2 linked regions of the Caenorhabditis elegans genome follow. The protein of the gene in region 1 purifies or fractionates together with the protein of each later gene. This does not show direct contact. Each region holds a gene or a part of one and is shown in the gene's direction. Other genes may lie near its edges. The genes, in order: K11H12.5 and T08G5.1.

Region 1 (7,153 bases):
TGATGGTTTAATATCCAAATACGACGAGCATATGAGACGAAAACCTTTTCGGCTCTGGGATATGTCTGGATGTCCCCTGGTGGGTCTGTTATAATAATAAGGACTTTTTGGATTAAAGTCAACTATTGCTACTGATTAGTCTGCTGATCAAATATAATTGAGACTTAAAGGATTTATGATTAGCACCAGATAGCATGAGAGACATAATGAGAACGTTAACAAAATACCATTGAAAGAAGCAATGAAATCAAAATATGGACTCCACAATTTGAAGATGATCCTTTGGTGGTAGTGATTATTCGTGATGTAGTTACTGCTGTGCTTGCTACAGTAGTCGTCGATGTTTGTAGCATTAAGCTCGTTGCGACTGTACTTGTCAGTGGTTGAAGATCACCCGCAAATGCGAAATATTGAATGTAAAATGTTCCAGGAAGCGTAGATGTCGAGGTAACTGTCAGATTTACCGGTGCTGCAGGGGACCAGGCATAGTTTTGTGTCTCACTTTCTTTTCTTAAAGTATTCGAAAAACTAGCACCGACAAATTGCAATTTGATGGTAAGATCATCGGTGATATATGCAGAGTCCTGTAAAATTGAGAGCTTATAAATATTAAAAAGGAAGGTTATCCAAAACTCACGAAAAACCCAGACGCAGACGATCTTGAAGTATCTGATTGGAAGTTGACGACACGGTCGGCATAGAACGATTTACCCACAATAATGCCAGTTGTGTTGACGGCAGTGGTCGTATAACTGTGATCACTCACATATTTGTTCTCTAAAAACAAATTGAAGGGACCCATAGAAGTGATGTACCAATAGTTTAGGCCAATTTGAAGGGGTTCGATGTTGTCGAAGAAACTGGAAGATATGAAGACTTATTTATGAAAAAGTTATATCTGAAAATGTTAAACAGTTGAAGATCTAACTTCAACATACTCAAATTTGCGATCCGTTAGAGATTGACAGCACTTTCCGCTCAATCTTTCGTAACCTCCTAGTTTTTTTAAAGGAAAATTTTGAAGATAGCTATTTTCAAGCTGAACACGGCCCAAATTCGGTCAAATGGCTGGCATCAGAAGGCCCAACCCGACTAGAAGTGGCTATCCAACAGCCGCAAACGGCCCAACAACCAAGGAGACATTTTGAACAACAATTGGGCCGCGTTCTAGTTTTCGGTCTCATCTGTTCTGTTTATGCTTGACCTAGGCTTCTTTATACTTACACTTTAAAATGTGGACCCGTTCCATTTTTCAACTCGATTGGATTTCGGAAAAATGTATTATTGGTCACATCATTCCAGTTCGAAGCAGGAATATCCCATTGGAAGTAGAGATTTGTATTCGGGGAATGATCGATTTTTGTCACATATGATATGGCTCTTGGCATATCGTAGTCAATAAGCTCTTGTCTTAAAACAGTATTGAGAACTACTACTGTTGACTTCATTCCCATTTTGCTGATTGATTGAGTGGTCTTGAGGACGTACACAGAAAAGGTTGGATCTAAAAATTCCCAGACTTAATTTGAAGATTTTCTAGGTGATATTTACCTTGTGCTTGTAGATATGTAGTGACATAGATATATCCACTAAGCCTACTGGTTGTGGTGTCATTGTTACTGGTTTGAAGAATCACACTTCCAGCTGCAGTGATAAACTTTGGAGATCCATCATCGTTCAAATCGTTCAACTTATCTAGGCTAAAGTTAATAGGTTGCTATTTTTAATAAAACTAATAAAATATTACGTAATAGTTGTAGTCCCCGTTGTAAGCTGGATATTCTTCAGATACTGATTGTCATCACCGGATGCTAGAAAAATCTTCCCTCCACTCTAAATTCAAACATTGAATTGAAATCACATTGATTAAGTCCTTACCTCAACACTGATTGTCAATGATCCAAGTGAAGTAACTCGGAATAGATTCACCACTTTCGGGTCGGCGTGCACCGAAAAAATAAATGAAAGAAGGAAGAAAACACAAACTCTAGACATGGCAAATAGTGAAAATTCAATTGAGTAACAGTGCTTAAAAGCGCCAGACGCTCAGGACTGATAAGCAATTTTAATGGATTTTTTGCAAAAAATGACGTGAGGGGGAGAGAGGTGAGTCAATTTTTGACCGAATTTCAATACGTACCTAGTTTGATATAGAAAAAGGTGATTGTTATATCATCATTACTATAAAATATGAATTCGTTTCGGTGGAGTCATCGTGAGCTGAAGTGTGATCATTGATTTTCTATTATTTCTTAATTGTAACAGGTTAGATTAAATCTCAAATTTTAGAACTTTTCAAGCACAGGTAATTCGCAATGTCCACATAATGCCTCAGTGAGCACAATGAACACCATTTACAAGTCGCGGATTGCGCATCATGTGTCCATATCTGCAAAGAATGGAAAGCCCTGAAAAAAATGCTCTCACACTTAAAATTTTTCTCATCTCCATATCATTTACATATCTGAACATATTTCCCACATTTCTATGCAAAATTCAACTATAAAACTGATTCCTTCTTCTTTCAAAATATCAAACATTTTCCAAATAATGTTCCGTCAATTCTTCACCATCCTTCTCTTCGTCGCTCTTTTTGGCACTGCATCAACCTACATGCCACACCATAAGACCGCCGATTCAGACAGTGATGAGTGAGTTTTCTGAAATTCTCTGAATAATGACAGAAGCTCAACCTTTTCAGGATCGTAGCCCGAGTCGAGCAGCCAATGAAGCTCCGAACCCTTCGTCCAATCAAATTTGGTCCAGGCGGCAGATATGAGTAATTGATGATTGTTATCATAAGTCGTGAGTAAAGTTTTTGAGCATTCCATTGCAATGTGTTTCATTTGCACCTGCCTGCCTACATGCCTTCAAGGCTACCTTCTTATGGCTTGACCTACCGCTGAACCACGTGCCAATTTCTACGCCTGCTTACCAGCTTTGAAAGCTACCTACGGTTGCCTCACGCTTATACCTACAGGTAAACTCGTAGGAATTTTTCGCCTACCTGGACGCCTTCAGAACATCCTGCAGCAGTTTCTATTTTCTTTCCTGATGTTCCTGACAGGGCGGATAAGAGGCGCCCCTTCACGCCTTGACCGGTCCTCTTCAGTCTGGAAAAGATAGTACACATCTCAATGCAAACTGTAATGACCCGAGACTGGAGAAGATAGGAAAGTTACCTTTGTTTGCGCGCACACCGCGCACTCTCCCGGCCTCTTGTCTCTCCATAGTACTTGCCAGAGAGAGGCTATAGTCTTCCATCGATTTACTCCTATCGAAATATTATTATTATTATTTTGCACCATACACTACAAGTGATTTTTACAATTTTGCGTACTTTTTTTTTTTAATTGTTCCCTTTTCTTTACTTTTAGTTTTAAAGGCTTTTAAATCTCTTCTACGGAAGTTATTTTATTTTTATTTAGCTTCGTAATCTCTCCGTTATTACACTAATATTTTATAAGACTTTCGTAATAATCAGACTTTTTTTTTGGCAAACTTACCTGCCTCGGGCCATCTTGCCTACATGTCCCTTACGCCTCTGTGCCTATGCGGACTATGCCAGGCCTATTAGCTGCAAGCCTACGTGCCTACCTTTTGCCTATTTGCCTAGATACTAGAATCCGCTATTTTCATAGCTCAAATTCTGGTTTCCCAAATTTGCTAATTTTTTTTGTAAAACATTTGTTAAATGTGTAAAAAAAATGTTGGCAATTTTTAAATTTCCAGACAAGATGGCCGAGACCTCAAACGCCTCAGCAGAGCCCGAGCTCATTTATTTTGAGGTGACAAGTAACGAAGAACGTTTTGTGCATATGGTATTCCAAATGGCCAGCAACACCACAAATCAATTCCTTATTTTTGTAAAAGACGATGAGACCTGTTTTCGTGCTCAACGTGCACTTTATTCATCCGGTGAGATGACGCAGTGCTTTCTGAAGAATATGAATAAAGATGCCTTCAAAAAAAGGAAACAGGAATTGAAAAATGGAACGGCTAAAGTTTGGATTGCTGATAGATCTGTTATTGGAAAATTGGTGGATTGTTTTTCGAAAGAGCTGACCGTGTTTTTGTATGATGGAATTTCGAATGATTTTCCAAAACAGTAAGTTGTAATTTTTTAAGGTTTTGGATAGGTAGGTCGTTAGGCGTACGTGCGTACCTGCCTGCCTACAAAGGTTTATGTTCTGACGGTAGGCGTCCACAGGACAGACGAAAGATGTTTTGAAGGCAGGTAGGTAGATATAAAGTGCATTACTAAGTAGGTGTAGGCACATGGCAAGCGAAGATTGCCTTGCGAGTAGACGGGTAGGCTAATTCGTTATTAAGTGTAGGCGCCAGGCAAGTGTAGGCACTCTCTCTCTCTGAGACAAATGCGTAGGCATTCTGTACCTTCTTGTAAAGCTTACCCTAAACATTTACTTTTTGCAGAGCCGTCGGTAAATGTCATTCTGTGATATCTCTCAAGCAAAGTAGGCATACTGCTGTTAACACCTCGGACGGATTATTTGAGCAAGTTTTTCACATTTGCCAACTGTACAATGCGACTTTCACATCACCGATCAAGGATTGGATGGCCAGCTCAAAAGTAGGTTTTAACCTTGTTTTTGAAGGTTCTGCCTGCCTAATAGGCACGTAGATAATAGGCCAGGAATAAGGAAGGTATGTAGGCAGGCATGTAGGCAGGTACGTAGGCAGGTATGTAGGCAAACAGTCAGACACGAGGCAGGCACATAGACAGGCAAGCAAATGAGAAGGCATACAATGGGTATGTTGGAAAACACGTAGGCAGTAAACAGGTACGTAGGTGTTCAATCAGGCAGATAAGAATGAATTAGGTACAAGGTAAGCAGGTAGACAGGCATGCAAGCACACATACAGCAAAATGAAAACCGGGCAGGCAAGAAGGTAGTCCAGACACGTTTCCAACATTTTTTAATTGCAGAATGGTGACCTTCCTGAAAACGCAGATACCATGAAGCTCGTCATTGCTCGTCCATCGGAGCTCCTAAACTCTGCGAGCACATTACGATCGTTTAACGACATTGTTGCAAAAGATCCGCGGATTCTGAATCTAATGGAAGCTTTCAAAGTTATCGAGAATAAAGCTAGAATTGACAAAGATGACAATTCAAGAGGAATGCTGTACCTTTGTGTTAAAATGAGATCTGAATTGGATGGACAGTATGTCACGAAAAACAAGGCCGATCAGTTTTATCGGGTGGAATTTAATACGTTGAAGAATATGAAAAACAAAAGCGAATTCCTTCGAAAAATGTGTCCGTCTTAATTGTATGCAAATTTATGAAAGTTAGATTTTTCGATAATAAATAAACTTTTATTGAAAAATTCTGAAAAATTGATGAAAATTCCGCAGCACCGAAAGTTTGAAATTACCGTACTCTCATTTGACAATAAATTTGTCGCGTCAAGACCATAGGTACCGTATTTTTGGTGCAAAATCCGCCTGGGTAATAATTTTGGTATGTTCAATTTAAAATAAATGTCAATTATGATTTTAAAAATTATTTATTCTGAAAATTTTTTTGGCGGGAAATTTTCGAGTTCAAAATATTATATAATTATTCGGTAAGGACTAAATGTATTTTCAAAAATTGAAAATTAAATTAAAATTAAATTCTAAAAATTGTTCCAAGAAATTGAAATTCAATTTAAATTTTTTTGAAAATAATTTTCTCTGCGTTTTGGTGAGAAATTAAAATTTTAATGTTTCAATAATTATGGTGGTAAACTCAGATTGTAGCTTTAAAATACATTTTGGCGGAAAATTCCAATTTTTTAATAAAAATGCTGAAAAAAATATATAGGCAGGCACGTAGGTAGGTAGACATGTGTCATCACCGTTGGTCTCAAAATGTGACTGCCTACTTCTGTGCTCCACCAATTTCATACATTTTTCGCTGTTGTTGTGTTGTTCTATAGTTTTTTTTCCCGCAAAACAATACACATTACTTTTCATGTCAGAGCAAAAGCCACATGATGTACATATGAAATCCAAGGAAAAGTCACAAATAAAAAACCAAAGAAAACGTAAAGCCAGGCGGTGATTGTAAAAGGCCATCTGGTGAATGAGGAGGAGCACACACACACACCTATCATAAACACATCATCATCAAAAGTTGGCGGAGCAGCGGAGCAGACGAAGGGTGTTCACACATTGTTGTGTTATGCGGTGTTCTTTTTTGTCTTGTTTACGATGATTGGTCGAGCAGAAGCTTTTTTACTTGAGTATAAACTTTTTGCAACTGTGCTCTACAATAGCCCCAGTTTTTTTTTTGGATTTTCAAGGTTTTTCATCCAATGTTCTTGTATTTTTGAGCTTTTAGAACACAGTTTTTATTAAGTGAACTGGTGACTAAAATGGCTAGAAAACATATTACAACAAAATGATTTTTTTCCTGAAAATTATGGAGTTCATGCTTTCCAGTATAATGTTTCTAACTTCAAAATTTCCCATAACTAATCATAGAAAACAGACAAAAAATTTTGCTCAGTTTGGAGGCCCTTTGAAAGTTACAAAAATCAGGTGCCGGTTTACCGATTCGCCGAAAATGTTGATTTCCGGAAATTTGCCGATTTGCCCTTGCCGAACATCAATTTGCCGGAAGTTTTTAGAGAGATTTTTTAAAAGACGGAACCACTTACCCTGTGCCTCTTGAAATGTTTTCCTATCTTTTCTAGATATGTTGACAGAATTTGCTTACTTTTCTAAAGAGATGTAGGAACATTCATAGGATACACACAATTTTGCCGATTCTGAAATTTCCAAAAAGAAAGTGCAAAACCCAAATTTGCCAAAAATTGTTGGCAATTGCCGTTTTTCCGGCAAATTCGGACAATCGGCAATTGCCGGAAGTTTTCAATCCCGACAATTTACCGATTTGCCGATTTGCCGGAAAACACAGTAAAAAAAAATCTAAACACTCATCCCTTACCACCAATTATCACTCCCAGACTTCCCGAAAAAGGGTCAAAGGAAATTATGCAAGTGGCGGTGCCCTGTCGATGGGCACTTGATTAGAGATGGGCGAACACTTTCTGCCGAGAGAGCACTGTTTGCTCAATAACTATCAAATATCAGCAAGCACACCTCCAGTTAATCATGGTCAGCGGTGTGTCCCGCCAAATG
Region 2 (6,027 bases), on another chromosome or scaffold:
ACCTTTCGGTTATAATTTAACTATTTGTTTTATTTCCCCTCTGCTGGTTTCCATAATAAATAAATAAAAAAACTTCATGCTCTTGATACTACAGTTTTCCAGATCAATTGTGAATTTCGAACAGCTTGTTCAGATTTGAAATGTAGTGTTGCAAGAATTGATTTCCTGTGTGGAGTGTGAACAATAAGCATGACTATAGTGGAAAGAACTCCATGACATGCAATTGCAATCATCGCAATGTTTGTGGCAGCTGGAAAAATGATTTTTTTTTTCAAATTTCAGCTTAATTTTACCTTGATTATAGTAATCATTTTCCGAAGCCATGACAAAATATGAAACTGGTAATGAGATGAATGCAACTGGAATAAATATTTGAATACACATTGAATAGAAGAATTGCTTTTGTAAGCGAGCAGTAGTTGCCGAGAGAGACACTGTTTGGGAAAAGTATCGAAAAATTGCTCCGAGAAAATACAATTTTTGGGGAAGACATATGAAGAACATGCTCAAAAGACAGGCATTGACTATTGTATTATCAGTGGCAAATACAAAATATTCCCGACGATTGAGAACTTCATTTGGAATACATGGATTTATCTGTAATTCACTTTTTGGTTAAAGCTTTCAAAAAAAAAACGAAAACTCACATTTTTCACATATTGCTTTGCTACTTCAGGATTCGGTAGTTTTAAATATGCGGGAATAATAAACGTCACTGATATAGTATAATTTAATACAACATATAAGGTACGTTTCCAGTTCAGTGATCCGTTTGTTGTATGCCCATGTATTAGTCGGTGATAGCGATCTTCGAAGAATATGGTTACAGCCACGCACATCACTGAAATATATTGAATTGTTCGGTTCCTCTCAAATTGAATAATTTAAAAAGGAATAGTAGCTTGAAAACCCTAGAGTAAACATTAAATTCGTAACTTGGGGAACTTGCTGTCAAACTTTGGCAGTTCTCTGTCCAACCTTCCAACAAACTTAGTCAATCTTCTGCCAAACTTTGGAAACTTTTGGTCAAACTTAGACAACCTACTGTAAAATTCTGGGATTTTTCTCTCAAACCTTGACAACTTACTCACTCTCGGAAGTTACAAAGGTTCGACAGAAAACTGCCGAAATTGGACAGAAAGTTGTCAAAGGTGCGTTGCCAAAATTTGGCACGAAGTTTTCTTTAAATAAAAAGCCAAAGACATCACAAAAAAATTGGGAATCAAATAATTTGTTATTGAGATTAGATTAATTCATATCGAAACTGAAAACATAATAAAGCTTCTGTTTTCAATAAGACGTTTTATATTTATTATACTATTACCATTAGTTAGCCAATTCAAAATAAACTAACCCCCAACAAAAACACATCCAAGATAAACCTGAACATCAGTTGGAATACCTAATATTAAAGAGAATCCAAGAGGATATCCTGAACTGACAGGTAGTGTTAGCATTGGAGATGCAATAAAGCTTAGATATAAATCGACGATTGCTCCCACAATGTGCAATAAGACCATGTTGAACTTTACAGAACATATTTTGCGCGGAGTTTTAGTTAAAATAATATATGCTCCGAACAATTGAACGGTCACTTCGATGGCTGTAGGTACGTGAAGAATTCCAGCATAGAACTCATCAGTCGCAAATAAATTAATATCCTCGGTGCACATTTTGAGGTATTGAGGTAATAAAGTAAATCACGGAGAGAAATTAAAAAGGGATAAAAGCTCATAATTTAGCTAGGAAACGTTTTCACCTGTTCTAAAACTGATCACTCAATAGGATAAGCTTTTCGCGTCTGAGATCTTTTGCACATGTTCTTTGGTAGTTTCCATCTAAACCCATTCAAACATATGAGATCAAAAGTTAGTAAATACTTTAAGCAAATTTCCAACAAAAAAATTCCAAAAATTTCCAAATGTTCGAGATATTGAAAATTGATAACCTCATTAAAAGTTTGGGCACAATTTTTAAATTTTCAGTCGCACTATTTGTAGTTTTTAACAATTTGGTTGATGCATTAATTGATTTATTAAGTGAAAAGCAGCTGAAAACAAACCACACAAAAATGTTTTTTCCTGGTTCTGAGATCTTTTGAATTAAGAAATAACACCTGACCCATTTGGGTCAAATGATTTTTCGTAATTTTCAAAATTGTCTTAACTTGATAAATGTTTTCCACTGTCTATAAAATTGATAATGGATTCAGTCTGTTCGGAAAAAGATTTATATTTTACTTGAAAAGGAACAAATCGTGTGAAGATCAAAAGTGATGATCAAAAGTTTTCCTTGAATTTTATCGCGATTCCCATAATTTTTGCTTCTGGTCGTTGACAAGGAAGACAGTTTAAAAATCTAAGAAATTACAATAAATATTTAACATTTATTTCAGCTTTCAAGAAAAAACCTCGAACAATATCAATTAGTAGGAATTTGTTTCAAAGGGAAGAGTATTAATTTCAAATTAATGAGCAGCCTGAGCACATTCGCAGTTGGCACACTTGCATCCTCCGGCACATCCAGATTTGCAGCATTTCTTCTCACTGGCAGTTGGGCAGCAGTATTGCTCACAGCACTTGGCGTCGGAGCAATCGCAATCTTTAGTTCCGGTGTTGCAGGAACAATTTTGGTTTTTGCAGTCTGGGAAAGGGGGTTTCATTCAAAATTAATTAAAAGCGTAATGAAATTTCAACTTACCACACTTGCAGACCATTTTTGAGTAGAGCCTTTGAAGCTTGATTCTCATGTCTGCTGGTAGGCCTTTTATATAAATTTTCAAGCGACAACCTATTTGAGGCAGCTGATAACAGCACAAGCCTATCACAATGTACAGTCACTGATAAAAGCTTTGAAAACTTCATTCAAATTTATCCAATTCTTCTGAACTTTATGAAGCAGTAAGTACATTGCGTGCACAATTATTTGGATTTTTGAAAATAAAATTTGATAGATTTTGAGCTATATTCTGAGAAGTTGAATTTTCCGTCACAACTCTAGTTTGTGATAGAGGCCTTTATCAGTTAGGTGTGTGAAGTCATGCCTCAAACATACTTGGTCACCTGCAGTACATAAAATTTCAGGTACAAACAAGATTACGGTAATTACTAGCTTTTCCTTGAAAATTAGAAATGAAACATGTAATTTTCCAACTACTGTACTTTTTAGAATAAAGTAGTCTCTGATCTACTCAGCTTCAGCTCATTAGCTATTCCATCAATTATTCTCACTTCCATGGTTACATCCCACGTTTGTTTCGTTCCACTGAACCATTTTCGTCTCTTTTTGTATTCTCTATGGGACAAAAAAGTTCCAGAACCGCTCCAGAACATGTAGAAGGTTTGAAATATTATTTAATTTAGAAAAGAAAACTGAGATTTCAGAAGATAGACATAGCGCCTGGGGAAGTGATATTGATGAAACATTATGTGGCCCAGGAACTCTTTGTGCAGGTTTGTAATTTTATTGTTTAACTTATGTTTAACCGTAATTAAAAAATTACCAATGTCAAATAATACTACACCGGTAAAGCGGGGTCCCCAAAAACAACCCTTCTGCGGCTGACTGATGAATAGGCTATTTCGGGCCAGCGGGCAAACTTCGAGGCTTGCTATTTTAATCCTGAAACAATTCCAGGCAGAAAACAAGAAAAAATTCTTCCTCCTTTTAGACACTATCGTGATATCCTGCCTTACCCGTAAAAGTGATTCAATTTTAAAATTTCAGACGACTGGACCCCATTCAACTCTGTGCCAACAAGCCCTGATTCTGTCAGAAGGCGCTTTAGTGAAGCTCGTCTTCAGGAAGATGTTATTACAGAGCAGCCAAGATTATTTGACAATCATTCTCGTGAACAAGATGACGATAGAATGATGAATTACGAAGTGATGACTATTCGGGAAGTTGAATCACCGATTATTCTACCTGGTCCAATTTACACAACGGAAACACATAAGAAGAAAAGAAAAGTGAAGAAACAGCCAAAGCGAATAGTTAGAAGAAAAATGAGAAAGCAAAGAAATACTTCAACTTCTCGAAATACTCAAAATAACGAGGATGTTACTGTATTAAGAAACTTTAATAGTATAAAGCACCATCAAAAACCCAGAAACATTGCATATCGTCCAAGACATCACTCCAGAAAAATTCGGTGAGCTCTGACACTCATTACACAACCATTTAAAATTTTTCAGAGTACATCAAGACCCACGTTATCCAACAATTCCTCCACCTACTATCAACTATGGTCTTAAATTCAGGAGGTGCCATCCGGATGATGTAAGTTTTGTGGATTTTATAGGCTAAATAATTCAAAATTTTCCAGAAAAATCGATTTGTAAAAGCAGTGCCACCGAGTCATCTGAAAGGAAAGTCAATATCCGCAAAACAACCATTTAGATATCGGGGAATCCCAAAAATTATAATGTGATTCCTGCTTTAATTTTTGAAAGTTGTATAATCAATTAAAGAATTTGAGAGCTCAAAAAATACCTTTTTACTTTTATAAAAGAAGAACAAATGAATATTTTATATGTAGTCACGTATAGATAGTAACACAAAATTAACGAATTTAATAACTAAATCTGAAATATAGAACTACAAACGTCTCTAGTATAAAAAGTAATCTGGCGACCACTGTTTTTTTAGAAATTAGAAACTTGATACTGAACCTTCAATTAAAATGTATAGTTTTGAGTTTAGCTTGTACTTGAAAAAATAATTTATTAACATATCCATGCTTGAAGTCGAGAATTCAAAAACATGTGATATCGCTGATAAGCCCTCATATTGCACGTGTTCCGAACTTCTTCCATCGAGCAACTGCTCACAGATTGAAGTTTTGAGCATTTCAACTCATGAAAGATTCTATCTGAAAGATTTGAGAAAGTTTTGAAGGCTCAACCTGATCCCAAATATCAATTTACCACAAACAGACAAAAAACTCAATAAATTTGCCAAATATTACTTTTTTTGAAATTCTACAATTCTTTCTAATTTCCTCATTTGAATTGCATCTGAATTTGACTGAACCACACTTATTTTCCCGTGACTCACTTTCGTTTTTATCATTTTTGCAACAATTTGTTTTATTTTTTGATATTTTTGATATTTTTTATTAGAGGGAAATGTATCACAAAATAATTTTTTTCACAGAAAACTCTAAAAAATATTTATCAAGTTTGTTGAATTCGAGAATACTTAATGTTTATTGGAGATAAAAAATTAAAAACTTAAATTTCTTTCAAACTTAATAAACTGTTCAAATTGTTTTCATATGGTGTTTCATTTTTTATTTTGTTTTATTTTTCAACATCTTTCAAACTCACATTAACATCGAGAACTGTTTCCATTGACTTTTTGAAGCATTTTCCATATTGGTCCTTCATTTTTAGAGCACATCTCCAGAAGATTTTGCTTGCAAAAAATTGGTAAAAACTGCAAAAGGATAGTAACTTCTCAACGGATTTCGCATCGTAGTCCATACATCTTTTGAGTACTGGAAAATTTGCCTAAAACTAAAATTTGGGTAGAAAAAATTGATTTGATTCACCAACCTCTATTGTGGAACAATATCCATTCATTCGTTCAATTTTTTTCGGGTTTTGTAGACTTGTTGAATTTTTGAAAGCAGCAACGCCATCAAAAGCATTGAGACATTTTTCTAATGCTGCCTGAGTTTTCGCTGATGTGCAGAATGAAAATTGATAGGCCGTGGTTATCTTCGAGTTTTGCGTGGAGCTTTTTTTAAAAATTTTATTGGGAGTTTTTGTATAGCTTGGAAATGATTTAGTTGCAGAAGTAAAATTAGCCACAATTTTTACATTTACTGTAACCAAAATAATAAGAAATTGAAAATAAAATAGCATACCTTTAGAGTTTGAAAATAAAAAAACTAGTGCTACAAAGTGTGGCCATTAATCATAGTTTCAATGTTTTTATTTATATAATCCCAGATTTGATCACTGTATTTTCAATCTTTGTTCAACATTCTACCATCCATTGGTTCAGTGTTTGACCATTCAAAAA

Evidence for each region.
Region 2: the proteins of K11H12.5 (region 1) and T08G5.1 fractionate together in Caenorhabditis elegans (co-fractionation; one large-scale study listed by BioGRID). This does not show direct contact.

The regions. Positions count from the first base shown.
Region 1 is NC_003282.8:673,879-681,031, forward strand, and holds K11H12.5 (DUF4276 family protein), read left to right. Parts: upstream 1-2,783; 5' UTR 2,784-2,805; exon of another isoform or gene 2,806-2,830; intron 2,831-3,732; 5' UTR 3,733-3,737; coding exon 3,738-4,108; intron 4,109-4,434; coding exon 4,435-4,591; intron 4,592-4,948; coding exon 4,949-5,293; 3' UTR 5,294-5,352; downstream 5,353-7,153. Other genes in the region: K11H12.4 (CUB_2 domain-containing protein), read right to left, coding at 216-584, 638-860, 1,225-1,504, 1,552-1,700, 1,748-1,833, 1,879-1,995; K11H12.10 (Neuropeptide-Like Protein), read left to right, coding at 2,488-2,651, 2,702-2,783.
Region 2 is NC_003283.11:14,015,904-14,021,930, forward strand, and holds T08G5.1 (Titin), read left to right. Parts: upstream 1-2,862; 5' UTR 2,863-3,296; coding exon 3,297-3,339; intron 3,340-3,383; coding exon 3,384-3,452; intron 3,453-3,726; coding exon 3,727-4,150; intron 4,151-4,193; coding exon 4,194-4,278; intron 4,279-4,324; coding exon 4,325-4,429; 3' UTR 4,430-4,485; downstream 4,486-6,027. Other genes in the region: srh-308 (Serpentine Receptor, class H), read right to left, coding at 75-250, 294-597, 648-841, 1,355-1,673; mtl-2 (Metallothionein-2), read right to left, coding at 2,468-2,643, 2,701-2,716.